Arabidopsis thaliana: one gene and its partners. The protein of the gene in region 1 purifies or fractionates together with the protein of each later gene. This does not show direct contact. Each region holds a gene or a part of one and is shown on either strand. Other genes may lie near its edges.

The links.
Region 2: the proteins of EMB2820 (region 1) and NSP4 purify together in Arabidopsis thaliana (affinity purification with mass spectrometry, with the first as the bait; one study listed by BioGRID). This does not show direct contact.
Region 3: the proteins of EMB2820 (region 1) and CNGC19 purify together in Arabidopsis thaliana (affinity purification with mass spectrometry, with the first as the bait; one study listed by BioGRID). This does not show direct contact.
Region 4: the proteins of EMB2820 (region 1) and GTE2 purify together in Arabidopsis thaliana (affinity purification with mass spectrometry, with the first as the bait; one study listed by BioGRID). This does not show direct contact.

What each region holds. Positions count from the first base shown.
Region 1 is NC_003076.8:8,446,207-8,454,217, forward strand, and holds EMB2820 (Cytidine/deoxycytidylate deaminase family protein), read left to right. Parts: upstream 1-1,747; 5' UTR 1,748-2,139; exon of another isoform or gene 2,140-2,213; 5' UTR 2,214-2,349; intron 2,350-2,648; 5' UTR 2,649-2,673; coding exon 2,674-2,746; intron 2,747-2,847; coding exon 2,848-2,899; intron 2,900-2,983; coding exon 2,984-3,060; intron 3,061-3,129; coding exon 3,130-3,263; intron 3,264-3,401; coding exon 3,402-3,484; intron 3,485-3,695; coding exon 3,696-3,795; intron 3,796-3,979; coding exon 3,980-4,390; intron 4,391-4,478; coding exon 4,479-4,582; intron 4,583-4,659; coding exon 4,660-4,840; 3' UTR 4,841-4,875; exon of another isoform or gene 4,876-5,086; 3' UTR 5,087-5,363; downstream 5,364-8,011. Other genes in the region: AT5G24680 (Peptidase C78, ubiquitin fold modifier-specific peptidase 1/ 2), read left to right, coding at 7,460-7,515, 7,626-7,758, 7,855-8,011. UniProt on the Arabidopsis thaliana protein: Involved in RNA editing. Catalyzes the specific deamination of adenosine-34 in several cytosolic tRNA species. Generates inosine at the wobble position of the anticodon loop.
Region 2 is NC_003074.8:5,568,734-5,575,964, reverse strand, and holds NSP4 (nitrile specifier protein 4), read right to left. Parts: upstream 4,063-7,231; 5' UTR 3,950-4,062; intron 3,861-3,949; 5' UTR 3,821-3,860; coding exon 3,620-3,820; intron 3,465-3,619; coding exon 3,024-3,464; intron 2,922-3,023; coding exon 2,652-2,921; intron 2,554-2,651; coding exon 1,606-2,553; 3' UTR 1,207-1,605; downstream 1-1,206. UniProt on the Arabidopsis thaliana protein: Specifier protein that contributes to constitutive and herbivore-induced simple nitrile formation. Promotes simple nitriles, but not epithionitrile or thiocyanate formation.
Region 3 is NC_003074.8:6,041,852-6,049,732, forward strand, and holds CNGC19 (cyclic nucleotide gated channel 19), read left to right. Parts: upstream 1-3,150; 5' UTR 3,151-3,530; coding exon 3,531-3,923; intron 3,924-4,013; coding exon 4,014-4,205; intron 4,206-4,276; coding exon 4,277-4,375; intron 4,376-4,452; coding exon 4,453-4,839; intron 4,840-4,928; coding exon 4,929-5,174; intron 5,175-5,263; coding exon 5,264-5,409; intron 5,410-5,482; coding exon 5,483-5,560; coding exon of another isoform or gene 5,561-5,582; exon of another isoform or gene 5,583-5,599; intron 5,600-5,639; coding exon 5,640-5,769; intron 5,770-5,879; coding exon 5,880-6,120; coding exon of another isoform or gene 6,121-6,137; exon of another isoform or gene 6,138-6,210; coding exon 6,211-6,488; 3' UTR 6,489-6,678; downstream 6,679-7,881. Other genes in the region: AT3G17670 (tetratricopeptide repeat (TPR)-containing protein), read left to right, coding at 1-42; AT3G17675 (Cupredoxin superfamily protein), read right to left, coding at 393-598, 816-999; AT3G17680 (Kinase interacting (KIP1-like) family protein), read right to left, coding at 1,287-2,311, 2,368-2,416; CNBT1 (cyclic nucleotide-binding transporter 1), read left to right, coding at 7,223-7,717, 7,811-7,881. UniProt on the Arabidopsis thaliana protein: Putative cyclic nucleotide-gated ion channel.
Region 4 is NC_003076.8:3,331,784-3,338,147, reverse strand, and holds GTE2 (global transcription factor group E2), read left to right. Parts: upstream 1-3,234; coding exon 3,235-4,689; intron 4,690-4,771; coding exon 4,772-4,976; intron 4,977-5,058; exon of another isoform or gene 5,059-5,067; coding exon 5,068-5,153; downstream 5,154-6,364. Other genes in the region: AT5G10560 (Glycosyl hydrolase family protein), read left to right, coding at 68-165, 245-595, 683-1,099, 1,212-1,813; AT5G10540 (Zincin-like metalloproteases family protein), read right to left, coding at 5,686-5,766, 5,876-5,947, 6,038-6,103, 6,212-6,243, 6,359-6,364.

The DNA of each region.
Region 1 (8,011 bases):
TTTCGGGCTTTTATAGGGCTGGCCCTATTATACTACGGTTCTGTTCGTTTCTCCATTTGACAGATCCATCCAATTGATCCATTCAACATGTCCATCTAGATGATTCATTCGACTCTTGTTCGTTTTATTTTTAGTCGGTTCATTTGACTGGACCATCCGAATGAGATGTTGTTCGTTTACTTATCTCTATCTCCATCCAAATGATTTGCAATAATACAAATACCTAAAATACCCATGCTTTCATCTAATTCTTAATCTAAAATATATTTAAAAGTAAATAAATTTCAAATAATAGTTTTTTATATTTATAAATTTATTTTACGGTTTTGGCGGGAAAACGTGATTTTATGATTTGACGGGAAAACTCGATTTTACAGTTTTGGCGGAAAACAAAATTTTACGTTTTTGGCGGGAAAACGTGATTTTACGGTTTTGGCGGGAAAACGTGATTTTACGGTTTTGGCGGGAAAACGTGATTTTTGCGGTTTTGGCGGAAAAACACGATTTTACGGTTTTGGTGGAAAAACGTAATTTTTTGGTTTTGGCAGGAAATCACGGTTTTACGGGTTTGCCGGGAAACCGTGATTTTGCGGTTTTGGCGGGAAAATAGAATTTTACGATTTTTGCGAGGAAAAAATGATTTTGCGGTTTTGGCGGGAAAACGTAATTGTACGGGTTTTGCTGAAAAACGAATTTTACGGTTTTAGCAAAAAAAATGATTTTGCGGTTTTAGCAGAAAATTTAATTTTTTATTTTTTAAAAAATAATTGTAAAATAAGATTTAAATCTATTTATTTATTTTATCTAAAAATACATCTAAATAATCAATTGAAATAATTAGGGTATTTTTGTCATTTGTTATTTTAGATTGAATCATCTCCATCCAAATGATCCAATTTAGTTCAGTCAAATGAGTTTCAAAATTTAGCCTAAATTTTCAAACTCATCCAGATGATTCATTTGGATGGATCATCTGAATGAACCGTTTTTGGCACCAAACGAACATCAAAACTCATCTCCATCGAAATGATCCATCTTACTGATGAAACGAACATGCCTACAAACTTTTTTTTTTCTTCTTTAACACTAAACGACGACGTCTCTTTTTTTTTTCTTTTTTTTTTTCTTTCTTCTTCTTCTTCAATCTTCTTTCTTCGATCTCTTATTTTTTAAACTCTCTTCTTTGATTGTGAGAAGCCATAAAAAAAGGTTCGATATCTCTCTCTTAATCTTTCATCTTTCTCATTTTTCTATTCTCATAGATTGATATATTCTCTATCTTTGGAATCTGATTCATAGGATTGGGGTTTAATGGTTTTCGAAGAAATCTGGGTTAAAGTGTGTTCGTGTGTTCTCTAAATTTGATTCACTAAACGTGGGTTTCGAAAAATTGAATTCTGTGTAGCTATGATCTTGTGGCATAAGGCAAACTGATTCCTGAAGTTGGAACATCGTTCTCTGGTTCAGTAGAGAACCGACGAACACCCTTCCCCATCTCCGACGATGTTGTTTTTCTGCTTAGGACACAAGTTTGTTTTGTTTTTTTTCTCTTAAACTTTCATACTTTCACACACTCATAAGTTTACACACATTACACATATATATAGGAGATTTCTTCTACTCACCATACCCACTCTCTTAGACCTTAAACTTAGTCACTATTTAACCTTACTTCTAGACATTAGACTTAGGGATACAAGCAACCTTACACAACCTTACCTTAGCCACTAACAACCCCAACTACTCTACCTCAAGTACTTAGCTAGAATAAGCTACTTCTACGAATGGGCCACAACAAAACATACTTCACCACTTTGGGCCTACACAACTTCATCAGCCCAATAAGATAAAACATAAAACCCACTTCTCTTGTCTTCTTCTTCTTCTTCTTCTTCTTCTTCTTCTCACGTCTCTCTCTTACGTCGTCTTCTTCTTCTAGTTTCCAATCTTCTTGTTCTTCATCATTGTTGTTTCCTTCTCACTGATGTTCTTCTTCTTCTTTGCAGGATCAATCGGAGAGTTCAATCTCAACAGACGACCATACCCTCGATACAGTAGCTGCTCCGCTCATCAACGTCCATTTCGCCGCCTTTAGCCGTCAACGTTCTCTGGTTCTGTTGCCGTACAAAATTCTTAAAGGTCGCGTTTTTATGTAAGCGTAGGGTTTAGTTGTCGTCCCGCTCTTTTTAATTAGACTTTGTTAATTTAATTAGGTTAATTAGATAAGACCTAAAACGGCGACGTGTAAGCTGTCGTCTTCTTGACCTTTTTGGTGAACTCCTCCTTCCTCTCTATCGGCTATCGCTCGCTGCGTCTCTGTGTCTTGTTGCTTGGAGCAAGCTCTCCAGCGTGAGTTAATCTAATCTCTGTAATGATTAATTACCTTCTTTTACGGTTTCTGGAATTGCATCTGTGTGTGAGCACTTGGTTTGAAATATGATTTAACTAGTGAATTCGATAATGCTGTTCAATAAGAATGCTTAGAAAAGCCTTAACTGGGTTTTACTCACCACTCTTCTTATTGAATCTAGAAATTGAAAGTGTGAATTTTTGCGAGTTCTCTTATTCAAACTTCACTGCGAAAGGTGGAGTTTTTCGTCTCTGTTTTCTCCCTAATTCTTATAGTTTGAGCTAATGGTGTTAATCAGGCTCAAGAATAGATAAAATAAAATTATGGATTCAGATGCATGGGAAATTATCCATATACCTGAAAAGCCTTCATTGTCACCTGACCATCAGCCCACTGGTATGATTCAATCTCTAAGTTTGGTTTTTTAGTCTATCAAAGGTTCTTTATCTAAACTTCTTCTTCTGTGTGTGTGTGTGTGTTGTTCTTGTTGTTCACAGTGAAGGTATATGCTAGCCTAATCAAACCCAGATTTGCCAATACGATAGTGAGGTTTGTCATTCTTGTTTCGACTCTTGACTCGTTGATTCCAGTGCTGTAATCTCATGAGTGAATTTTTTTACTTTGCTATGATAGGCATTTATGTAAGATTGCTCCTCTAGAAGATCTTCGTCATGTTAAAAGGGTGAAGAAGAAGATTCTGCCAGATTGCGGTATCCCATTGTTAGTTTTCTTAGCGCGCTGATACACCAATCATAAGATTATGAGGTTTTTATTGTAAGCTTATTGGACAGGTGAAACTCAGTTGACTGTCATCTTATGTCTAGCACCTGAGCACAACGATCAGTTGAGTGACATGCCACCTGATGTGCAGAGACTCGTTGATCCCTATGAGTTGAGTCCTTTTATTACACAAGTAGGTTATTTTTCTCTTATCTCACCACTATTTGCTTCAAGGGTTTTTGATTCATTTAGCTTCCAAGTCAGAGATTTCTTTCTGCTCATTCATTTATATTTTCAGTGCAATCTCATATTTCTGCTATAACTATGATAGGTATGCAAATATGCTGCGGTATCCAAAGAAGAGTGGGAAGAACAAAGTAAGATATGGCCTACTTCATTTCATCCACCAACCTAGTAAGCTCCATGTCTAGAATCAGTTTTGTGACCAAAAGAGTCTTTATTATCTTTCTGGTCTTTTTATTATATATGCTTTAGTCGTTCTAGAATAATCTTATTTCTTGATGGTTTCTATTGGTGCTCTTATCTGCATTGTAATAGCAATATATGTCTTTGTTTATAGTGCAACAGTCAATGATTTTTTACTTTTTGCATTTGGCAATGATAGCAATATAGATGGCATCGGTGGGTTCAGCGAGGAGGAAACACAATCAATCTGCAAGTTCATGAGAGTTGTTATTGATATGGCAGTATCTGGTCATACACCAGTAAGTATTTTCCATTGATCTACATAACGTCGATATCAAGTTTTAGACAACAGACCATTCATTTTTCATGTACCATTTGCTTTTTTTAGCGCCTCAATCCTTGTTCTCTTGGTAGAAAGATTTACCATCGTTTCATTACATAGAAAATGATCTCAATTTACCACATTTCTAATGTACTTTTCAGCTTGTGAATGCTGCAGTGATAGTTGATCCTTCAGTTAGGCGAATAATAGCTAGTGAAACTGATCAAGTATATGCATCATCTGCTCCTCGTGACATGACTAGCGCAGAGACCAGGCCCTTCGAGGAAACAGGGGAAATATGTTTAAATGACACACTTGAAAAACAGAATGGTTCATTGTCTGCTCTTTCTTGTCTGAATCCCTGGCAATGGAGTTTGCAGCCGCATGACACTGAAAATTGTAGCCAGTGGCATCCTCTTAGGCATGCTTCCATGGTTGCCATTGAATCCTCTTCTGCCAGAGATAGAAATCTGTTTCCCAATCCATCCAAGATTTTTGATCAGGATCATGTTCCGCCCTCAAATACAGATTCTCCGGCTAAAAAGCAGAAAACAAGCAGTCAGAGTCCAGACGTAAGTTCATTCCAACCAAGTTTTTTAATTTCCTCCACATGCTTTGACTAGTACAGCATTCTCTCTTACACTTCTGAGTTATCGATAGGTCCAAAATGACAGCAGAGAAGAGACTGTTAGAGATCCTTCAATGGAAAGGCCGTACCTCTGCACTGGTTATGACATTTTCCTCCTGTTGGAGCCTTGTACAATGTGAGTTTCTACATACATATTACCCTTTTAAACTCTGCAAGTGTGTGTATCTAATAAAGTCGTGATATGTTCCCAAGGTGTGCTATGGCGCTTGTGCATCAAAGAATAAAACGGATTTTCTATGCTTTTCCAAACACCACGGCAGGTGGTCTCGGGAGTGTTCATAGACTTCAAGGGGAAAAGAGTTTGAACCATCATTATGCAGTGTTTAGAGTTTTGCTGCCTGATGACGCACTTAGACAAATGACCACGGTCTAATGCATTGTTGTAGTCGATTGATAATCAGGTTCTGGGTGAGAAAGCTAATTCTTTGTTCTTGTTCATTCCAAGAATCTGGAATCTTATTGAATTATTATGTAGACCAAAAACTTTCGACTTCTATTACTGTGTATGGCTCAGTACTCTCTAGTCAGAAACTTGTGTTTTAGAGAAACAACAGAATGCAAGAAACGAACCGTCACTAACCAATCCTCACATGAAATAATGCATCTCTACTTACTGTAGTATCAGGTCATTGCATGGCCCAACTGAAATCATTCTTGCACTGCGCTCTCTTAATCTAACAACAGAGGATTGACGATTGCCGCCATTCGAAAATCGTCATTAGCTGAAAGACGAAAGAGGTTGTTATGAGGTAAATGGTGATAATCTCAAACTTGGTTTTCAAAGTTATAAGCTCATCTGATCGCGCAACACGTGTATATTTGTATGTATTAGATTTTGATAGGTGAAAAAAAAATTATGTAACAATAAAAAGTCTAGATTAAGACCTGTGTATGAGTGTTTTAAAATTATAAATTGTACTAAATTTAAGAAAAAGGGTTGTTTGTATATTTGTTTTTGCCTTAATACACTAATTTGCATTTTGATATTTTAAATTTGTTGTAAAATTTATTACAATAATCTAGTAAAGTTAAATTATCAATATGTTATTAGATCAATGTTAGAATCATTTTACAATATTCATATTGTAAGATTTGCATTTCAATATTTTAAATTATTGTAAGATTGTATATATATACACTTATTTATAGCCTATAGACATTTATTATTTCTTATTCATAATTGTAAACTAAATTATTAGTGTTAATTTTTATTTTGCCACAATTAATGTTAGATCTAAAGTTTAAAATCCAAGATTATATCATATTGTACATTTGTTTATTTACTTTTCATTATTCTAAAGTAGATTAATAGTGTTAAATCTCTCTTTTGCCACAATTAATGTTAAATATAAATTTAAGACTCCAAGATTAGATCATTAATTTCTTTATATATTGATATAAAAATCTAAACTAAGAATTATCATCGTACGAAAAGAATGGAGGGTGACAAACATAATAATTCTAAGACAATTTTTTCAATGCATAAAAAATAATCCTACGACAATGATTATATCAGAGGATATAGTTGAAGAGATATTTCAATATCTTCCAATAAAATCACTAGCTAGATTCAAAGTCTTGTAAAAAAATGGAGATCAATGATCAAATCAACCTACTTTTCCCACAAATGACTCGTTCGTACAGGTTTACCAACCCCTAATATGAAATATCTTCATGTTAGTCAACACTTTTCAGCGAATTTTGTTGAAGAAGATTCAACTCAATAACTTTTCTTTTGGAGACTTTTTCTAGAGATGACCATAACAACGGAAAAAACTGTCATTCTTCTTCTTGTTACTACACTTTTCCTGATGATCCAATCGACAAATGTCAAAATAAAACCATTCAAGTATTGGGATCTTGTGATGGATTGGTCTTGATTCAGATCCATGACGATTTTAGGCACATTTACTTGATCAATCCTTCGACTAAAGAACACATGAAACTTTCCAAAGTGGTGCGTCGTTGGTACGCACCTTGGTTACTTTCTTAGATTACATGACCGTGCATACATGATATTTGTTATTATTAGTTAAACTTATACATATCAACTTGATTACTTTTTTTAGCTTTGTAGTATCCGAAAAAACTTTTCATGCATGCTCCGTTAGACCTTTCGATCTGCGGTAATTTCCGTAACGTTCGCGTAGCCAGGTTGCAAATTAAATCGCAACCTCAGTATCTTGAAGGCAAATCAAACCTTGGATGGGTTTAGAAACATTTCAAAGTGGTGTTTCGTTGGTACACATCTCTTGTTGACCGGAAGACAAGAACAATGCTTCCTCCTCTTGACAAACAGAATGAAACAACGTTTCGGGTTTGTTTTGGTAGATTGGTAAAACATTGGTGACGAACAACACTCGAGGCTTTTTCATTGATCAACTCAAGTAAATTTCTCTGAATTCTACGGAGCAAATAAATGATGCACATTGCTTTGAGACGCATAGCCATTTCGCCAAGACTTTTAGAGGCATCGGTAACAGAATCTTCATTTGTAGATCATAAGGAAGTGTTTCAAAGCTTGAATTCTCCATTCTTGTTTTTTTGTTTGTTATGATATTTTGTGTTTTGAGACATAGAGACCTACTAAACACACATGTGATATTTATAAGAGATTCTCAAAAATTGGTTTGTTACCAACGTTGTGACTTGTTGAGTCGTAAAACGTGTACATGCATCTCTGATTTATATTTCCAAAAGAGAAATATTAGTTCCTCACATTAAAACTTACCATAATTATTGGCCAATTAAGATTCTTTATTTTCTACTTTCTCTCGTTTAAATTTATCTTTTAACACAAAAATAAAATAAAAATCATTAAGAATTAAAAATTCCAAAAAAAAATAGAAATAATCAATGCACCACAAGCACTCCAATTAAACGCAGGCGTTTTGATCATCACCGGAGGAGGTCAATTTCTGATTTCTTCCGGCGAGAAAACAAACGAAAGAGTGAAAAAAAGGCGACTTTTTTCTTGTCCCGGGTTATAAAGATGTCAGCTTTGTGTCCTGTCTGCAATCTCACGCTTCCTCTCTCCCTAATCCAAAGGTATCAATCCCTAATTTCAGCTTTGTGTCCCTTATTTCTATATGCTTCTTAGTTGCATTCTCTCGAGGTCTTGATGTGTTTGTCTGGTTATGGTGGATGGTTTGACTCAGCCATGTGAATTCCCACTTCGAAGACGATGAAATCAATCCACAAATCGAAACCGATCACCACTTGGCTCTGCAACTCGCTTCTGATGATCATTCTTCTGATGATCCTTCTTCGTCTTCCTCTGCTTCATCATCTGTAATACTTTCTTAAAACCCTTAAATCTTCTTTCCACTCCTGTGTTAGGTTCAGAAAAGAAAACCCAATTGATAAAACATTGTTTCATTTCTGCAGAACAACGTTGCCTCCTTGGTCCAGTTACAGACTAAGAGTCAATTCTATAGTGTAGGTCATGGTGGTTTGATTTGTTTGCTGAGGAACTGTCTGGAGTCAGAACTGAAATTGAAGTCGAAACCTTTAGAGTGTAGTACTAGTTTACTATCAGGCTTTG
Region 2 (7,231 bases), on another chromosome or scaffold:
CCTTCCACCACGAAATCTGTTTTAAAAATCGCTATCTGACCATACATGGGAGATTTTCTCCCGTGTGATGTCTTGAAGATAAGAGACTTCACGATAGTTGTGTTGTATCTCGCAACATCGCTATAGCTTGCCTGAATTGATGTGATATAGTTAAGTACAAACTGCAACAAAGAAGAAACAGAGCAAAAAACAGAGAATGGTATAGTCAACACATATAATTAGAAATGCAGTATCATATGTAGACAAAGTTATGCAACCTCTTTTAGTACTCCGGTGACACTTCCGTGCATTTGTGTCTCGAATTTGCCGTCTTTCTCGTATTCGATTTTGATACAATCCACGCCGTTACCGTTTTCCCCAACAATCACTTTCCTCACACCGTTGTAACCAAAAACGCTATCGTCGAATGGATCTCCTTTGTTACCACCGAAAGGTCCTACTTTCTGTGACATTTTTAACTGAAAGAGTCAATAGTAATGACATCAACAAACTGAAGAATTTATAATAATCTATCGAAACAGAAATCTAATGTCTTAGTGAAAAAAGTATTTTACACATCTAACATGAACCCTACTAACTTCTTTATTTTATTATAAAATTCCAGCATTTGGATGTAACACTAATTTATCAATCGTTTTCAACTAAAACAAAATATGCTAAAGACAAATACTAAATTTTAGGGAAAAAAAGGATGATAATAAGGAAGAGCATTTTACAAGTTCTTTGAGATGGTCAATTGAAATTTTCGTAGAGAGATCAATACTCACGGATAAGATTATGAGAAAGTGACAAACCAAGAAAGGCAGGACTTGGTTATAAGAAAAAGAAAAAAAGAAAAGAGACAGGCATGACTTACCTAAATATTTCAATTAAAATACGAAGTGCGAACAAAGGAATGCATTATGCATGGGTTTAAATAGTGAACGTTGAAAAGAAAGTTGAAGCATCAATACATCTTGGATATGTGATTCTCTTTAATAGAGATAATGTTTTATACACAGTTATAATTAAAAGAAAGATCACCATTCACCATTGTAAAGAGAAATCACATTAGCATAGTTATTCTCATTAGAGAACACACAACACATAGTTTAAAGAGAGTGGCTAGAAGCAGAGGAGCAACAACCAGAGCCCTCCTCAATTATTTGAAGGTCAGAAGCAAAAAAACAATTACGGCCTATTATTTGAAAATGTTTTTTTTTTTTTAATTGAAGAACAATGAAAAGGAGGTTGGAGATTCAAAGTTTCGAACTCTGCACCTCTCCATGTGGGAAGATGACTTTGACCACTAGACTAGTTAAACAATTACAATATGAATCCTGCATGGGATTAGTTGTAAACGCGTATACAACACATCCATCGTTATTTATTTAATATTAAGCTATGACTCTCCCTTCTAGTTCGCATTTTTTTATCTGGGGATTTATTTTAAGAAAATAAACAATTTATTGGATAAACCACGAAACATAAAACAATTAAACATATAGAAAACGTTTAGGAAAAAAAAAACATCAACAAAATGGACAAGCTGACGAATGATAATATGGTGGTATCAAGACCCTTCCCTTATTGCATCACAAACGTTCATCACCAAATCTGCCTTAATTAGGCAGAGTCAATTCCGTAAAAGAAGAGATCATCAAACCGGTCATTGGTTGGAGCTTTACCACCATGCATCACAAGTCCTTTCTTGCCACCAATGGTCGCAGTTGTGGACGCGGTCCATCCTCTGCTACTCGGAGTCTCTTCCTCTCCACCAAACTTATCCAGCCTCTCCCATTGCAACGTCTCTGTGTCCAATGCAAAAGTTCCATCGGTCAATTGACCTGGACCCACGTGAGCTAGCGGGTCCATCGCAATTTCACCTCCAAAAATCACAATGTGTTTCCCAAGAGCCGCACTAGCGAATACACTTCTTTCGGAAGGCCTCACACCGAATGTTTCCACTTGTGTCCACTTGTCTTGAACAGGATCGTAGTAATGAACATCATCTACTTCACATCCGTTAAACCCATACACAACCCATACCTTCCCTTGCACCACTTCGAGCCCTGCTCCTCCTCTTGCGGTAAGGGAATCTCCTGGAGTCGAACAATGAAACCACTTCTTATCAACGATGTTGTAAGAGTCTAGTGTATTGAGTCGTGCCGTAGCACTCACTCCACCGAAAACGTAAACGTTTTCCTCATCGGCTGCCATTGAGTGGAAACTACGAGGAGTGGGTCCTTCTTCGACCGGAGTTAGCAGTTTCCACTCGTTTGTGGTCGTGTCAAACGAGTAGAAACCGTTGTATTGACGTGAAGCGTCTCGGCCTCCAAAGACATAGAGGGTCGATCCTATTGACACCATACAGACACCTAGGCAAGAGAGGGTTGGAATGTCTCCCGTGGCTGGAGAAATGGACCAAGTCCGGCTCTCGATGTCAAAGACGTAAAGGTGTTTGTCGATGGGCTGATTTGGTGTGAACTCACCACCAAAAGAGTAAATCTTGTTTCCTACCTGTGCTATGTCATGCGAGCATCTTAGCCCTGGACCATCTCCATTTTCATCCACCTTATAATTAATTAATAATACTTGTTAGTTAGGATTTTTTATAATATAGAGTCTGCTTAGTGAACTAGCTCCCATGGTGATATATAAAAGATTACTACCTTTGTCCACTTTCCATGCAAGTTTGGAGTGGGCGACAATGAAATATAAGCCCCGAGGGAGTCTAGAACGTCGGTCGAACGTCCGTGAAACCCAACAATTTTTCCACCTTGTAGCACAAACTTAATACCAGGTCTTTGTTCGATAGGCTGAGAGGTTTTGCCTTTATAAGTCTTGAATGAAAGAAAAGTGATCATCTCTGAGGTCATACCATTAACTTTCTCACGGTATCCTTCCACGTATACGATGTAGTCATCCGCATCAATCTCAAACTGCAAAGAAACCAAATAATTTTGAGTGAGGTTACCCATATAAATATATATATATATATATCCTTTTGACGAATCACAACATAGAATTATCTATTTTTGTACCTCTTCAACTCCTAGCTCTGTCTTCTTTCCATGTTCATCTCCAACAACCACTTGAGAACCATTGACATACTCAAACTTGACGAAGGCTATACCATATTGGGCTTGCCCTACATATACCTTTCTAACATTATCGTAAACACCATCATCCCATATATCTCCCGTGTCACCACCCTTTGCTTCTAGCTTTTTGGCATTCAAGGGGGTTACATTAGTCAACGGAGCAAAGTACGCTCCAAGAGAATGGAGATTGTTTCCAGCGAAGCCATAAAATCCAACGATCTTCTTGTCTTGAACTTGGAGAGTGAACGGTGTACCATCTTCATATCCAATGAGATCAGAAGTCTTCTTGTTGGATTTGAACGTTAGCCCTAGAATAAGTCCTTCAGGGTTATACCGACCTTCTACAGAAACTAAGTGCTCCTCCGGATGGTTTATCACAAACTGTAGAGATCAAGATCAAAATGTCAATTTCTTAAAAAGAACATTATCAAAACAAACCCTTGACAATATATAACCTATATATATATATATATTAATTCACGTCAATGTCCTTATAGATAAAAATGAAGAGATAGGCAAGGATAGTGTATAGGAACCGGATCTGCTTCGAAACTACGGCCCTTGACACCGCGTAGAGGGGCTTCTTCGGTTTGTCCGTTCTTGACGTATGTGAACTTAACATATTCAATTCCGTTCCCGCCTGCTGCGACTTGAATCTTGGTCACAGCGTCGTATTCGGATCCATCATCCCATTGGTTACCGCCATTTCCTCCTTGTGCTTCAACCTTTTGGGCCATCTCTTTTGCTTTCGTTTGATCAACCTCTTACGAATATTATCTGTATTTACGAATTTTACTTGTAATTACAAATATTACCAAATCTTATACATAGTACAATCATATGAGAGAGATGTGGAGAGAGCTGACCTGAGAGTGAGACTGAAGTAATGATTTGTGTAGTAAACATTGCATTGGTATTTATTGACCAATGGAAGAAGATACACGCGACATATTTTTTCTCTACTCGTTGATCGCGAGGCATTAAATTAGTATATATTAAAATATTTTTCTCTATGTACCAAATAAATTTTGTTTAAAGATCCTCCGTAAGAAGGTTCGTTGAACTGCAACATTGAATTTTTTTTGGTCAAGGCACAAAAAATTAGGTGGTGCAGCTTATTACGGGATTTTAGAGTAGTGTTTCTCTCCCATAATCGTCATGTGCTTTTGTTTCGATGAATAGCTTGATGGAAATAAAACAGATATGTCATCTATGGGATATTGAAAGTATGTGCAGTCATCATTTTCTCGGGTGATCTTTGAAAGTATAATAGTATAGTTTTACTCGCCATTTAATCTTTAGCAGCGATAAAAAATTTAACAAAAAAAAATTACGAAAAACTATACTATTATATATTCAGCTTAGAGATCTCGTATCATTCAGAATCACCTCCACGTTCATCAAATCAGTAAAGCACCTTCTCGCATCGTCCTTCGCTCCTTGCATCGTGGCCCAATGATAGTGTTCCATGTTGTCATAAATTATAAGAATAGACCCACTTTATGGCTGGTTTGTGTTGCAAGTGCATGTATAAAATAGAGACGATGATATATTTTTCCACGGGAATTATCATACTGGAATAGATAGAGTCCAAACTATGATACATATTGATATTGGATATTCCCCAAAACGTATATTTATTTAGTTCAAAAGTTTGAAATCTCAGAACACAAAAACATTGGTTTAATCGGTTTATAATCTACACCAATCCCAAACCACATAAAACCAAAATAATAAAATAACATTATTTTTTTGGTAAAAACATTGATTAAGTATGAAAATATATCTATGAAGATGATTCAATTAAATGGAGAAAGTGAATCAAACCTTCTTCTTGTCGCATGAATCTCAAACTATGGACGATAGCTTATAGGCGAGACAATTCTTCAAATCATGAACTCAAAAAGTTCCTCCCGAAAACCAATCTTAGTGATCTCTGCTCATTGGGACACCAAATTCCCATATGTCAACATTGGTCTTCGCAATTCCATGATCCACGATTTCTATGGCTTCGCAATTTTGGTTTTGAAAGTTTCTTTTTTTGGTTTTGAAATTTCCATATATATCATCTCTATTGGATTAATTATTTAATGTTTGTTGCTGAAATAGGAAGCGCCAGGAGCAATTAAATTGAAACTGTGATGCTCTTTTTGTTATGGTTCGAGTCTCCAAATCGATGACGCTGATTCTTCAGATAGATCATAAATGAGATTTGCTGCATCTCTTGCCGTCTTCATCTGTCATGGGAGGAAAAATAGATGAAGCAAAAAAAAAAAAAAAGATAAAAAGACTAAGCCAAGAAGAAACAATTTTTTTTTTTGGTAATCACAAACACTAACTAAATATACAATACAGAAACAAGGTTGTGAAAATCACTCTAAATCGAAGAAAGTAATGTGTTATGCAGCGAGTGCATGGGACTAAATATAGTTGAATCGTAAGATAGATTTTTTTATGTAGTGAGATCATTATGCACTAAAAAGAAAAGAGAAATCATTATGCATAATGACAAATGAAAGAACGATAATTTCTTGCGACTGTAGAACAAATGAAAGAACGATAACTTGAGAAGTGGCCATTAACCAAGTTGTAAAGTGTGAACGAATGACCAGAAAAGAATGAACTAATAAGGATATATTTTTTAATTTTTTCAAAAAACAATATAATAATAAACCACCTAAACCGAGAATTGGTTGAAAATTACAATATTATATATATATATATATATATATATATATATATATATATTTTAATCACACTTTTTAGTGACAAAAATATACTATTAGGTCGATCGTTTCTAGAGCTTCCAACAAAAATAATAATATAAAGCACAACTAATTTTCATAATTATATTATTTAACAACATCGTATGAAATATCATTTCTAATTTTTATTTTTGTTTTGTATACACGAAGATTGAAAACACAACTTAATTTCTATAATCTCTTTCTTCGTTTTTGTGTGTGACGTGTTCTTTATTAAACTCTTAATTACAAAGTGCCATTTCAAAATTATCAAAAGAAAAGTTTCCAAATAATATGTTCAATTTTTTAAAATAATAATATTTAACAAAATTGTTAGATACGTTACCTAAGATATGAAGAACGTTACGTTTGTACATGACTTATTTTTTATATATTCTATCTGCTGATCCTATTTTAACATGATTTTACATATCAAATATTAAGTTAGTTACAAAAAAATTGAATGATATAAACCACCAAATATGTGGTACTTTAGTTATATAGGACCCTCTAAATGGGGTATATATTTATAGGTTTAACTTCACTTGGGACAAAAGGTTTATCACCCTGCAATAAGTATAATTTGAAATACTAATTTATATTTGGTTATTTGATTACACTTTTTTCTTTTAATTGTATAAGATGTTTTAGCTAAAGAAATATTTACTTTAAAACAATTCAACCAATTATGAACAAGACTGATGAAAAATATAAATAATCAAAAAATATTAAATTAATTTATAATTTATATAAAATTTTGAAAAAATTTCTTTAAAACATCAAAATATTTCAAAAGTGAGAAAGATACGGTTCATGTGTAGATTTCCTTTTATATACTATGTTGAGAGAGTCGAGAGAATTCATTAATTATAATCTATTTACATTTGTATTTCTTGCTTACACGTGAAATATGACGGTGCAAAAAGTCGAAACTTTTAAGCTAAGCGTGATGTAACACTTGTTTTTTTTCTTTCTGTATATGATTATAGTTGATAGAGATAATATATATACATACAATTATATTATTTGTTATATATGATATTTGACAGATATAATCACTTATTATATACGATTATAATTACAGTTGAATATTGACGGTGCCTAAAGTCACAACTTATTAGCCGACAAAAAAAAAAGTCACAACTTATTAACTATTTATACAGTGATTGACATGATTCATCGTGTTAGTTGAAACTAGGGCATCCATATTTCTCTACATTGTAATGTTTGTTAATAACATGATAGCAAAGTTTGAGAATTAGTCTGGGATTCAGTAAAACTTATCTGGTTATAATTATAAGTATTATGATTTGGAACGTTTTTTAAGTGTCGGAAAATACATTATTGACTGACGAACTCACTAGTGATGGAATATAGGCCCCATTTTGATAGGTATACATTATT
Region 3 (7,881 bases), on another chromosome or scaffold:
CTGGCAAAGATGAATGCTTTTTCTTATAATGTCATTATCTGATTCGAAATTTTTGTTTGAGACAAATTTACAAAACTTGTTGGTGTTTTAAGTTTTAACTATCCTTGCAGGCCCGGATTGCGAAACTTCAACAGAAAGTTGTTGAACTAGATGTAACATAGAAGTATTCTGACTCTGGGAGTTGATACAAAACAGCCGTTGCAATAAATGTCTCTTTCTTTGGGTGTTCCAGAGTGGAAAGGTATGTGTATAGGTTATTAGTATAGCAAGAGGTATTGACATTGCGTTGTGTATATATTACTCAGATGATATTATCAATGTTAATGACATTATTTTGGTACTAAAGACTACCCAAACAACAAGCTTCCTATCTTTGATAATCATTACGGTACTCAAGGAGCTACATTAATGCTTAGCTTCTGGCCATTTACACAGTGATCATCCACTCCACAGATGAACCATAGCTTTCCAACTTCTGATAGGATTATTGAGTCGTTACCTTTGGTGAAGAGAGTTGTGTAATTGTCTAATCCACAATCTGTGTATGCTGTAGAGTTAACTTGCATAACATTATGCTGGTCACTTTTGTAGTTGAATACTGTTGAAGAAGAGAGACAGACTTAGCAAGGTAAATGCTGTTATGCTGGAAATAACTTATCATGTTTTCTTACTATTGATATGGAACAGAAGACTGCTGAAGAACAGAGGCAGAATTGACATAAATCATCGTCTTTTTTGGTGAGATAGTATGTATGGGATTGCAACATTGGTTCTGCTGTATTTAGGCATCGTAGTACAGGAGTTAGAAAAATTACCTAAGACATCGCCGACATGAAACTCTCTTCCCTGTGTCCAGTTGGTATAGTTTGTAAAGAGTTCCCAGCCATTGCTGTCACCAACTATATGCTCTGTTCCTTCAGATTTTAGCATGAGAGAAGATAAAGAGAAAATGGCATAGAGTATAATCAAGCTAGAGAATCGGCTTCCCTGATGAAGCATTGCTATCTCTTAACTTCTTGTTTTCTCAATTTCTTTTCAGAAATACAGTATATTTATAAAGCAGTAAGCATTTGTGGGTAGGAAGGTCATGACATTGTTGTGTTAACCAGATAAGTGAGTCATGAAAACCATACATATGTGGATCAAGGAGCCACAGATTGTATGCGGGGTACAACAAACTGTGCATCAGGGCGATGCACTGAAAAGCATTAAACCTAATAAGGCGATAGAACATACACAGTTATGTATGCATTGTTCATAGTTTACTAATACAGCAAAGGATTAAGCTAATAAGGCAAGTCGAAAGTGCAGCATGATGGAGCAGCAGCCGATGGGTTAAGGCTGCACTTTGTAAACAGGTTAATGGTGTTCAGTTTCTTCAACCACTTGAATCCAGGCTTCTTCTCTTCGGTTTTGTTCTCCTTCTTCTTTTTGGTCTTATGCTTATCCAGGCCAAAGCATCCGTATGAGACCTTATCAGAGACGGGCTCTGAGTTCCTAGATGCCTGAAGCGAGTAGATGCGGTTCTGGAGAATGCAGACCTTGTGAAAGTGGTCATCTCTCATCTTAAGCACACACCTAGCAAGCCCAACAGCTTCGTTCTTCATGAACAATGCCTCAGTGGCTAGCTCTCTGTTCTCCTCCAAGAGAGAAGTGAGTTTGTAGCCAAGATTAGCGTTTTCCTCCACAGCCACTTCTTTCTCCATCTCCAGCAACATGACAAACTTCTTCAACAGCTCTATAGTCTTGGAGGCTTCATGAAACTGTTGGTCCTTGTGAAGTAACTCGTGTTTCAGAATCTCTTTGTCCAAGCTTGCTGTCACAAGTTGGGATACAAGCTCATCGACTTTCTCAGAAACCGCAGTAGGATCTTTCATCTGTTGAAAGGATAAGGTGCTCTCAACTTCAGAACTGACCTCACTAACGGAATCAATGTCCGAAATGCAGTCATCATCATCTTGGAGAAGCTGGTTCGGAAGAGAAGTAGTGGGTTTAAGTCTGGTCTGATGAGAAGAACGACCCAAGAGAGTGACGTAGCCGTTGTACAGGTCCAGACAAAGTGAGAGAAGCAAAGGTCGTCCCTGGTAAAACCATTCAGCTCGTTGAGCAAAGGTATCATCATCTCCTTGGCTTTCTTGAAAACCAGACTCACGCAGGATTTGCATCCGAGCTTCAAGGTCTGTTTCCAACATTTTTTCAGACAAGAAGTGATGAGAGAGAAAGACAAACAGAGCAAGAGAGAGAGAGAAAAAGGGGGTCCACTGTTTCTGTAGCATGCTTTGTGATTTGAAAATTTGAAAATGTGAAAAAGCTCCAAAAAGAGAGAGAGAGAGTGAGAAGAAATTTGAAAATGGAAAATGAAAGTACCAGAGAGAGATGGCAACTGTGGAGCTTCCATGGATGCTTTGTTCTTCATCTTCTTCAACCTGAAAGATATACTTGTTTTAGTTAGTGATTCGTATATAAAATTATAAAGGGAAAATGGGAATAATGGCATAGATGATGAAGACATTGATGGCTTTTCCAAGAAGATAATAAATGTTAAGAAAGGGATATTTTAGATCATCGAGATTAATGAAGGATCGGAGTGGGGAGAAGAAAGATACAAACCCAGAAATAGTGAGAGAGAGAAGATAGCTGACACGTTTGTTCAGTTGTATCAGTGCAGAGCATATAACAGGCAAAATCCGCCAAAGTTACAAGCATTTGATTTTGTTCCACTCATATTTTAACACGTGGCTTTAGTACTTGGGTTTGGTAGTTGCGGCCCATTGTTTGTTGGGCTTAATAACTCAAAGCCTTTAGGTTTTTGAGATTCTGACATCAAATTTAGAAAGCAAAAAGAGGGAGAGAGCATATTGGTTGGTGGTAAATGACAATTTTATATATCCAGAAGAGTTCATAAAGTTATGTCATCGAATAATGTTTTCATAAATAAATAAAAATGTGCGTTTTAGAAAATAATATTTATTTCATCGTCTTTTTCCATAAACGCGGATCTCTTTATTCACACTCTTAATTATTTTATCATATGAGACAATTGCATATAAAAAAAAAAAACCTGAACTGTGTGTTTGGTGAGAATTCCAGTTTATTCTTTTTCACTAATGCTCAGAAATCATCATTCTTATTTGGAAATATGCACTAAATAAAATACACAATGGACAAAGCTCTTGGATAAAGTTTTCAAAGTAACACAAGAGGCAGCTTCTTGAGGTTTTCTCTCTTCCAACTTTTTTGCTTTACTTACTACTGAGGTTTTCTATTCCTTTGGAAGCTTCGTTGATGGGTTCAACACAAGATCTAAAATGTAACATTTCTTTTCTTAAATTTCCTGCAAAGTTCGATGTAGTTCATGTTTTTTTTTTTCCATTCTTTTCCTTATAAAGTGTCGTCCACATTTGCTTGACGGGATACAAAACGAAACCCAAGTCTCTGTCTTCGTCTCCTTCTTTCTTCTTCTCTCTGTCATCATTTTGCTTTTTTTTCTTCTCCTACATGCCCTAGATTTTGGGTTTCTGAAATAAAAAATGGCTCACACTAGGACTTTCACTTCCAGAAACCGTAGCGTTTCTCTCTCAAACCCATCTTTCTCCATTGACGGATTTGACAACTCAACTGTGACTTTAGGCTACACGGGTCCTCTTCGAACCCAGAGAATAAGACCTCCTTTAGTGCAAATGAGTGGTCCTATTCACTCTACTCGCAGAACAGAACCTCTCTTCTCTCCTTCTCCTCAAGAATCTCCTGATTCCTCTTCTACCGTTGATGTTCCACCTGAAGATGATTTCGTCTTCAAAAACGCAAATCTCTTGAGATCTGGACAATTAGGGATGTGCAATGATCCTTACTGCACTACTTGCCCTTCTTACTACAACCGCCAAGCTGCTCAATTGCACACTTCCAGAGTTTCTGCCTCTAGGGTATGATATTTCTACTTACCTTGAGACTCAAGTAAACATTATACATAGCAGCTGACACAAGAGTATTTTACTTTCTTTTGTCTTGTTTAGTTTCGCACTGTTCTGTATGGTGATGCTAGAGGTTGGGCTAAGCGATTTGCCTCCTCTGTTCGTAGATGCTTACCCGGAATAATGAATCCTCATTCCAAATTTGTTCAAGTCTGGACTAGAGTCTTAGCCTTTTCAAGCTTAGTGGCCATTTTTATAGACCCTCTCTTCTTTTTCCTCTTATTGATCCAACAAGTATGTCTCCTTCTCTTGCTCTATCAATCTCCTTCTTGACTGTATACGTTTTCATGAGTTTGATACTGCAGGACAACAAATGCATAGCGATTGATTGGCGTGCGACTAAAGTATTGGTGTCTCTTAGAAGTATAACGGATCTTATATTCTTCATTAACATTCTGCTTCAGGTGTGTCTCCATTGCTCCTATCTCATATCTAAGGAAATTCATTGGCTTTAACGCTTCTTTGGTCTTATGTGTTGCAGTTTAGGTTGGCCTATGTAGCTCCTGAGTCTAGAATAGTTGGTGCCGGCCAGTTAGTTGATCATCCAAGAAAAATTGCTCGCCATTACTTCCGAGGAAAGTTTCTCCTTGACATGTTCATAGTCTTTCCCATTCCACAGATAATGATATTAAGGATAATACCATTACACTTAGGCACACGCAGGGAAGAATCTGAGAAACAGATTTTACGCGCTACGGTTCTTTTTCAATACATTCCAAAGTTATATAGACTCTTACCTCTTCTTGCTGGACAAACATCTACTGGCTTCATATTTGAGTCAGCTTGGGCTAATTTTGTTATTAATCTTCTCACCTTCATGCTTGCTGGTCACGCTGTTGGCTCTTGCTGGTATCTCTCTGCTCTGCAGGTATATAGTAGAAGATCAGTGTCTTTAAAGATTCTCTTCATATCTATCAAGTGATTTAAAGATTGTTTTTGTTGTATTGCTTTTTTCAGAGAGTTAAGAAATGCATGCTGAATGCTTGGAATATTTCTGCGGATGAACGTAGAAATCTTATCGATTGTGCTCGTGGAAGTTATGCATCGAAGTCACAACGAGATCTGTGGAGAGATAATGCTAGTGTCAATGCTTGTTTTCAAGAAAATGGTTATACCTATGGGATCTATTTGAAGGCAGTGAATCTTACCAATGAATCTAGTTTCTTCACAAGATTCAGTTATTCTCTGTATTGGGGATTCCAAGTAAGTTCATTTCAGGTTTGGTTGATGTTGCAGCTATTAGTCTTTGAATCACTCTTTAACTAATGTTGAAATGTTTTCAACTCTGAAAGCAAATAAGCACACTTGCTGGAAACTTATCCCCAAGTTACTCAGTGGGTGAGGTTTTCTTTACAATGGGTATCATTGGACTAGGGCTTTTGCTTTTTGCGCGGCTTATCGGTAACATGCACAACTTCCTTCAATCACTTGATCGAAGGTAAATCACATTTCATCAACAATGTTCTGAAAAGGGATGGTGAATTTCTTGGCTAATGCATGTTCTGTTTTAGGAGGATGGAAATGATGCTGAGAAAGCGTGATGTGGAGCAGTGGATGAGCCATAGACGTTTGCCAGAAGATATAAGAAAGTCTGTGCACTGTGGCATTTGATTTTCTCAGGCTGTGTAATGTGATATTCATAACTAATCAACTGTTCAACTTTTTCAGGAGGGTGAGAGAGGTTGAGCGGTACACTTGGGCTGCGACAAGAGGAGTTAACGAAGAATTGCTATTTGAGAACATGCCTGATGACCTTCAAAGAGATATAAGAAGACACCTCTTCAAATTTCTCAAGAAGGTAATAAGCAACAGCCTCATGACAGCATTAGTCAGTATTCATTTTGTGTACTCAGACTCCACAGTGTTGCAAAAAGCTAGTTCTGAATCCAAGTGTTAATGAGTTTGCAGGTGAGAATATTTTCGTTGATGGATGAATCAGTTTTAGATTCAATCAGAGAGAGGCTGAAACAGAGGACTTACATAAGGAGTAGCACGGTGTTGCATCACAGAGGTCTAGTAGAGAAAATGGTATTCATAGTGAGAGGTGAGATGGAGAGCATTGGAGAAGACGGTTCTGTTCTTCCTTTATCAGAAGGAGACGTTTGTGGTGAAGAACTTCTCACTTGGTGCCTCTCTTCTATAAACCCCGGTACTAATAACATTTGAGTGTTCATAACTCTTAATGTTTTTTGGTTAGAAACTTGGAACTTTGGAGCTGAATACGTTTTGAAACTTGCAGATGGGACGAGGATAAAGATGCCACCAAAGGGATTGGTTAGCAACAGAAATGTTAGGTGTGTGACAAACGTGGAGGCGTTTTCGCTGAGTGTAGCAGATCTTGAAGATGTAACAAGCTTGTTTTCAAGATTCTTAAGAAGCCATCGAGTGCAAGGAGCTATAAGGTACGAGTCTCCTTATTGGAGGTTACGAGCAGCTATGCAGATCCAAGTGGCTTGGAGATACCGAAAGAGACAACTCCAGAGATTAAACACTGCTCACTCCAATTCCAACCGTTAAATTTGATGATGATGTTTGGTTTGGTAGATTAGTAATTTTATTTTGAAGTATAAAGCTTAGTGATTCACTATAAAAGATGAATCGATGATTCATTCGTTGTAATCAATTCACTCATTAGTGTTTCTTAAGTATCTTTTTGCTGTTTTTCCAATCATACGGTATAATTTTACTTCAGGTCACTCGGCTTGAGTAACTTGGGCTCATAATTTCGGCCCATTCTAATTGATCTTAAATTAATAATTAATCAAGCCTGGATAATGAATGATTTTTGCCTTTTCGGTACTTCTTTACTGTAAGAAGTTAATTAAGACAAAGAAACGGAAACAGCCATGTAGTTAATGACATTTTGCCTCCAATAATTAGGGCCAATTAATTAGTTACAGTTGGTAATCAAATAAAGGAATTTTCGAATTCGTGAATATTCAAAAGGAAATAAATGTTAAAAACACAGAGGAGAGAGAAGCCTCACGGACACGAAATAATAAACAATGTAATAAAAGTCAGTGTTTGACTTTTCCAGACATGAGTTTTATTTACAATAATACACTTCCTTGACCTGGGCTACGAAGAAGAAGACCCCTGACTTGGTCATCATCTCCTTTCTTATTTCTTCTTCTTCTTATCAAAATTACTAAAACTCTCTGCTTCAACTTCCTTCTCCGCCTCAAATTTTCCCTTTATGCCTAGATTCTAGCCTTCTAGGGTCTTCTTGAAACCGTGATTTTGGTCAAGAAATGGCTTCCCACAACGAAAACGATGATATTCCCATGCTTCCGATTTCAGACCCATCATCTCGTACTAGAGCCAGAGCTTTCACTTCCAGGAGTCGTAGCGTTTCTCTCTCAAACCCTACTTCCTCCATTGAAGGATTTGACACTTCCACTGTGGTTTTAGGCTACACGGGTCCTCTTCGAACTCAGAGACGTCCTCCTTTAGTTCAAATGAGTGGTCCTCTTACCTCTACTCGCAAGCATGAACCTCTCTTTCTTCCTCATCCTTCTTCTGATTCCGTTGGTGTCTCTTCTCAGCCTGAGAGGTATCCTTCTTTTGCTGCTCTTGAACATAAAAACTCCTCAGAGGATGAGTTCGTTTTGAAACACGCAAATCTCTTGAGGTCTGGACAATTGGGAATGTGTAATGATCCTTACTGTACTACTTGCCCTTCTTACTACAACCGTAAGGCTGCTCAAATCCCTACTTCTAGAGTTTCTGCCCTTTTTGATTCCACGGTAAAGTTTTGATTTTTGTTACTTTACATTCACAAATATAGCTTCAGGATCAAGTAAATGTCGTTGAAACAGAGTCTTTTGTTTTCTTGCTAGTTCCATAACGCTCTGTATGATGATGCTAAAGGTTGGGCAAGGAGATTTGCTTCCTCTGTTAATAGATACTT
Region 4 (6,364 bases), 5.1 Mb from region 1:
TGTTTGTGATGCTTTGGTTCGGCCAATGAAAGATTTACCGGGGAGTCTTTTTCTTGTATCTGTGCAGGTACATTACATCAGACTGTGATGCTGTGGCAACTATTTTTGCGTACCAAGGATATACCAAGTCACCTGAGGAAGCTGTTGCTGATGCCATAAAAGCAGGTCCTTTTGAGTTCTTTTAACACTTGTTAACTTGTAAATAGGTTGTCTTAAAATGAAATCTGAGATTGTGAATTCATAGGGGTGGATATAAATTGTGGAACATACATGCTTCGGCACACACAATCTGCGATTGAGCAGGGGAAGGTGAGCGAAGAACTAGTAGACCGAGCTCTGCTAAATCTCTTTGCTGTTCAACTTCGTCTTGGACTTTTTGATGGTGATCCAAGAAGAGGACAGTACGGAAAGTTAGGATCAAATGACATTTGTAGCTCAGACCACAGAAAATTGGCACTGGAAGCAACAAGACAGGGTATCGTGCTCCTGAAAAATGATCACAAGTTGTTGCCTTTGAACAAAAACCATGTTTCTTCATTAGCAATCGTTGGTCCAATGGCGAATAATATAAGCAATATGGGCGGTACTTATACAGGTTCGGACTATCTATCTTCTTGTTATTTTCAAGCAGGCTAAATTTTTCTCCTCGCTGAAACAGTTTATAAATGTCATATTTGTAAAGGAAAGCCGTGTCAACGAAAGACTTTGTTCACGGAACTTCTGGAGTATGTGAAGAAGACATCTTATGCGTCTGGTTGCTCAGACGTGTCTTGTGATTCTGATACCGGATTTGGAGAAGCTGTGGCCATCGCCAAGGGAGCGGATTTTGTCATAGTAGTTGCAGGATTAGATCTCTCTCAAGAAACCGAGGATAAGGATCGAGTTAGTCTTTCTTTGCCTGGTAAACAGAAAGATCTTGTGTCTCATGTTGCTGCTGTGAGCAAAAAACCGGTGATTCTTGTTCTAACCGGTGGAGGACCAGTGGATGTAACGTTTGCTAAAAATGACCCGAGAATCGGAAGCATTATCTGGATTGGTTATCCAGGTGAAACTGGTGGACAAGCACTCGCTGAAATCATATTTGGAGACTTCAATCCAGGTTAGCCTATCGCAAATCAAAGCATCTTCTGTTCATCCCAGTTTATGAAATGCAGAAACTGAATACTAAAGCTTTTTGGTTGTATATGGTTTTGGTTTCGGTTCAAGTGTAGGTGGTAGATTACCGACAACGTGGTATCCGGAGTCATTCACGGATGTGGCAATGTCGGATATGCACATGAGAGCCAATTCATCTCGTGGATATCCAGGAAGAACGTACAGATTCTATACCGGACCTCAAGTTTACAGTTTTGGGACCGGTTTAAGCTACACGAAATTCGAGTACAAGATCTTATCAGCACCAATCAGACTTAGCTTATCGGAACTTCTTCCACAACAGTCTTCTCACAAGAAACAACTACAACATGGAGAAGAACTTCGATACTTACAGCTCGATGATGTGATTGTTAACTCTTGCGAATCTCTGCGGTTTAACGTTCGTGTTCATGTGAGCAATACCGGAGAAATCGACGGTAGTCATGTTGTGATGCTGTTTTCGAAAATGCCACCGGTTTTATCTGGTGTTCCGGAGAAGCAGCTGATTGGTTATGATCGTGTTCATGTTCGTTCCAATGAAATGATGGAAACAGTGTTCGTAATCGATCCTTGCAAGCAGCTAAGCGTAGCGAATGATGTCGGGAAGAGAGTGATTCCTCTGGGGAGTCATGTCTTGTTCTTGGGAGATTTACAACATTCTCTCTCTGTTGAATTCTAAAACACTGTAATCCGAAAAAATTTCATTACTGTTTATTTCCTTCTAGAATGATCTATATATATACTTTTGAAACTACAGAAACAACCAGGTCAGCTAAAGAGAGTGTGACACGCACGCAATTTTTCTGCGCGTGTGATTGTGGTAGAGATTAATCAACAGAGAAAAGTGAGCTGTCGTGGGTCCCACGATATATCAGGGAAATGGTCCCCACATCTGTTGTTGTGTTTGGGGATAGACGCAACATTTATTATTATTTACGGTTATGACCTCCTTTTTCCAGTATACAACCTGACACCTCATAATATGTGTTTTTAATCAAGGATCCGACGGCCCAGATTTTACCCAACTTCGTCAAATGTATATAAACAAAATTGCACTTATTTTCTCAATAATTGAGTCACTCTCACCTCCTTCCTTTGAAAAAAAAAAACTTGGATCGAGTCTCCTTCCTCTCTCTTCCTTCAAAGTTCTTGTTGATCTTGTTCAAGGAATCAAGGGCTTGCCAAGAAAAAAGATTAGATCCTTGAGAAATCTGGGGTATTTCCACAGTTCAGATTCATGCTTTACTGATGATTTCTTTTAAAGGGTATTTTCGTCATTTGAAAGGTTCGACGGTTGCCCCAGTTGGCTAATTCCTCCGGCTTTAAGAAAATAAAATAAAGTACATCGGTGTTTCTTGGCTGTCCTACCCCTTCAATTCCGGCGAGTTTGACCGCCGGTGTTTAGTCTCGAATAAAGTTCTTTGAATTATGAATTTGTATCTCTATCAATTAAATTGTGATGCATTTCTAAATTTATGATGAGATAGGAATATTTAATCTAACAAATGGACAGATTATTCAAGAAACTGCTGACCTAGCAAAAGTGAAAGCGAGAATATTAAGAATAAGTCTCAAAAAAAAAATTATGTCGAAAAGAAAAAGGAAAAATAACTGTGGGCCCATGTGAAACAGTTCAGACTCCGAAATTACCAATTTGCCTACATTTTGTTTAATTAAGAAAATCGCTAAGAGAAATAAAGCACGCACGAACCAACGGCTATGGAACGGTCACTGGATAAATTAACGAAATCTGAGCCGTCCACGTCAGATTACTCGGGCAGATGGATCGGGCAACGTCATTAAACAGATCTGAACCGTCAGATCTCGAATCAACGGTGAGGAGAAGCACTAAGCGTTTTAACGGGCAGATTTCAATGTCCTTTAAGAAGAGACGATGCCTCACCTTGTTTTTCCTCGTCCTCCTCTCCAAACAACAATCCCTTTCTTTTCTTCCGATCGCCGGAATTGTTTTTCCGGTGGCGTTAATTTCTCACTTCAACGTTTCTAAATTATACAAGGGTCAGATCAAAGGTCTGATTCCGGCGAAGGGAGAAAGAGATCATATCCCTCTGAAATGATCTTGTGCCCTTCGAGTTTTGTATGGCACCTGCGGTTTTGGCTAACCTAAACGAACCGTTGTTTCTGGGACAATGTGGCGCCGTTTTTATGAGGAAATACACAAACCAACCTCTTTCCGGTGATATCAATAATCCTCTTTTCAACCCTAACCCTAACCCTAACTCAATCTCCGCTTACGGGAACAATTCGAGCAAGCATTTCGATGATTCGTCAGCTTATGGAGACTACGTTTCCTTTGATCTTGATGGGTACACCTCGAATCAGCTCAGGGAGCTGAAGAAGCGTCTCAATTCGGAGCTCGAGGAAGTTCGGTTCCTGAGAGAACGGATCGAATCGGGTACGTTCGTGAGCGGCTCTGTTTATACTACTCAAGCTCGTAGCTTCGCTGGTGAAACGAATGACGTTGGAGTGAAGAAGACGAAGACGAAGAAGAAGAAAATTGGGCATGGGCAGAAGCGAAGCAATCCGTTTGCTACGGACGAGCCTAGCCTTAAGCGTCATGTGGCTTTGGATCTGATGTCTGAGAAGGTGTTGAAGAGTATGATGACGACATGTGGTCAGATCTTGGTGAAGCTGATGAAGCATAAATGGTCATGGGTCTTTTTAAATCCTGTTGATGTGGTAGGTTTAGGGCTTCATGACTATCATCGGATTGTGGACAAGCCTATGGATCTGGGTACGGTGAAGATGAATCTGGAAAAAGGTTTATATAGATCGCCGATTGATTTCGCTTCTGATGTTAGGTTGACTTTCACCAATGCGATGTCGTATAATCCAAAGGGTCAAGATGTTTATTTGATGGCTGAGAAGCTTCTGAGTCAATTTGACGTTTGGTTCAACCCTACATTGAAGAGATTCGAGGCTCAAGAGGTGAAAGTTATGGGATCATCGTCTCGTCCTGGACCTGAGGATAATCAAAGAGTGTGGAATCAGAATAATGTGGCGGAGAATGCAAGGAAAGGACCTGAACAGATTTCTATAGCTAAAAAGCTAGATTCAGTGAAGCCGCTACTACCTACATTGCCTCCTCCTCCAGTAATTGAGATAACACGTGACCCATCTCCTCCTCCTTCACCGGTTCAGCCACCACCACCACCATCACCACCTCCCCAGCCGGTTAACCAAGTGGAAGCATCACTTGAAGTGCGTGAAACGAATAAGGGAAGGAAAGGGAAGTTACCGAAACCGAAGGCTAAGGATCCAAACAAGCGGGAAATGACAATGGATGAAAAGGGAAAGCTTGGCGTGAATCTACAAGAATTGCCTCCTGAGAAGCTTGGACAGTTGATTCAGATTCTTAGGAAGAGGACAAGAGATTTGCCTCAAGACGGTGACGAAATAGAGTTGGATATTGAAGCTTTAGATAATGAGACTTTGTGGGAGCTTGATCGTTTTGTTACCAACTACAGAAAGATGGCAAGCAAGATCAAGCGACAAGGGTTTATCCAGAATGTGTCAACTCCACCAAGAAACATGGTAAAGCAAACTTCTGATCCATTTATCAAAATGCACACTTTGTTTCTGATTGGTTAGTACTGATCTTTGTCATTATCATCAGCCTCCGGTGACAGAAATGGGAAGTGCTGAGAAGAGAGGGAGGAAAGGAGGGGAAGCAGGAGAAGAGGATGTAGACATTGGAGAAGATATACCAGTTGAGGATTATCCATCAGTGGAGATTGAAAGGGATGGTACAGCTGCCGCTGCTAGTGGTGGCTCTAGTTCTTCTGGCAGCTTCAGTTCGAGTGGCAGTTCTTCTTCTAGTGGTAATATAGTCTTACCCTTTCATCTATTTCTCATTTAAATGTTTATCTTTTGCCAATGTTTAAACGGTTTTCGGTGTTTGACTCTATGCAGATTCAGAGTCAGGGAGTTCATCAGGAAGTGATTCGGATGCGGATAGTGTGCAGTCTCCATTTGTGGAAGCAAAAGAAGCCCCGTAATAATTGTTGACCGTACGTTGAAATATGCTTAACAACTCCAGGAGACTAGAATCGGAGAATTTGGGTGGAGGTGGAACCTTTGTGTAAATGGAAGGGAAAGGAAGGAAGGGAAACTCGAAAGAAAAGATTTTGAGTGTTAGGGAAACAGTAGATAGAGGAAAACATGTAAAGGGTAGTTAGTGAATTTCTAGGTTGAGCAAAGAGGTGGAAGTTTTCTGTCCTTTTCCTCTTTCAGATTAAGGTTCTTTAGATTATTGGTGACACCATGAACAGAGTGACTTAGTAAGAAAAGATCGAGAGGATCTAAGAAAAATGTAGTGGAGAATGTGAAAATGGTTCGAAGAAAAATATTATCTCTGTTCGTTTCGTTTATGAACCATTTTTTTTTTTACCAGCTGCACTTCTATGAGATGATTACTACAACACTTGAAGAAAGCATGCTCAGGAAACAAGCAAGGAAAAAGTTTAATTTTATTTAATGACATTAATAAACCCAAAGTTGAGTGTGAGAGTAGCAAAGGACATAATTAGTTCAAGCAGAAGCAGCCAAGAGTCCATTGTGTCTGAGCAGAGGCTCTGGGGAAGGTTCTCGTCCTCTGAACTCCACAAACACCTGTTCAATAGTTTACCATTACATTTGATCATTATAAGCTCTGGAAACAAACAACTTGGATTTATGATATGCAGAACCTATAGTATAAAAGGCAGAGAAGAGATTTTACTTTTAGAGGAGCTTTTCCTCCTCCCAGAGCAAGTATAGTGTTTCTGAATCTCTGTCCTGTTTCTTTGACAGCCTGTGTTTTGCAACCCACACAACACAGAGAGATGTTCAGAGTCTGGAAAATCGAATCAAAGCTTCAGTAAGTTTGTTTAGCAGCATATACCTTAATGTCATCCAACCCAGCATCTTCAAAAGCTGAAAACGCATCTGCAGACAAAACCTCCGCCCACTGCACGTTGTCCACAAAAGTGTATTTAGATATTTGACCAGCAGAGAACCATCGTGAATAGAACTGCTGCATCGGTGAATTATATAGAAACAAAAGAATATATTTTACCTTGTAACTGTAGTATCCAGCTGCATAACCACCTGACAAGACATGAGAAGGTGAACAAGTGAAACAAACTATCAAACGCACCTACGATAACTGCACATGACTAACGTTTACGGATGCGTTACAACAAAACGGGTTTAAGGATGTTACCTGCAA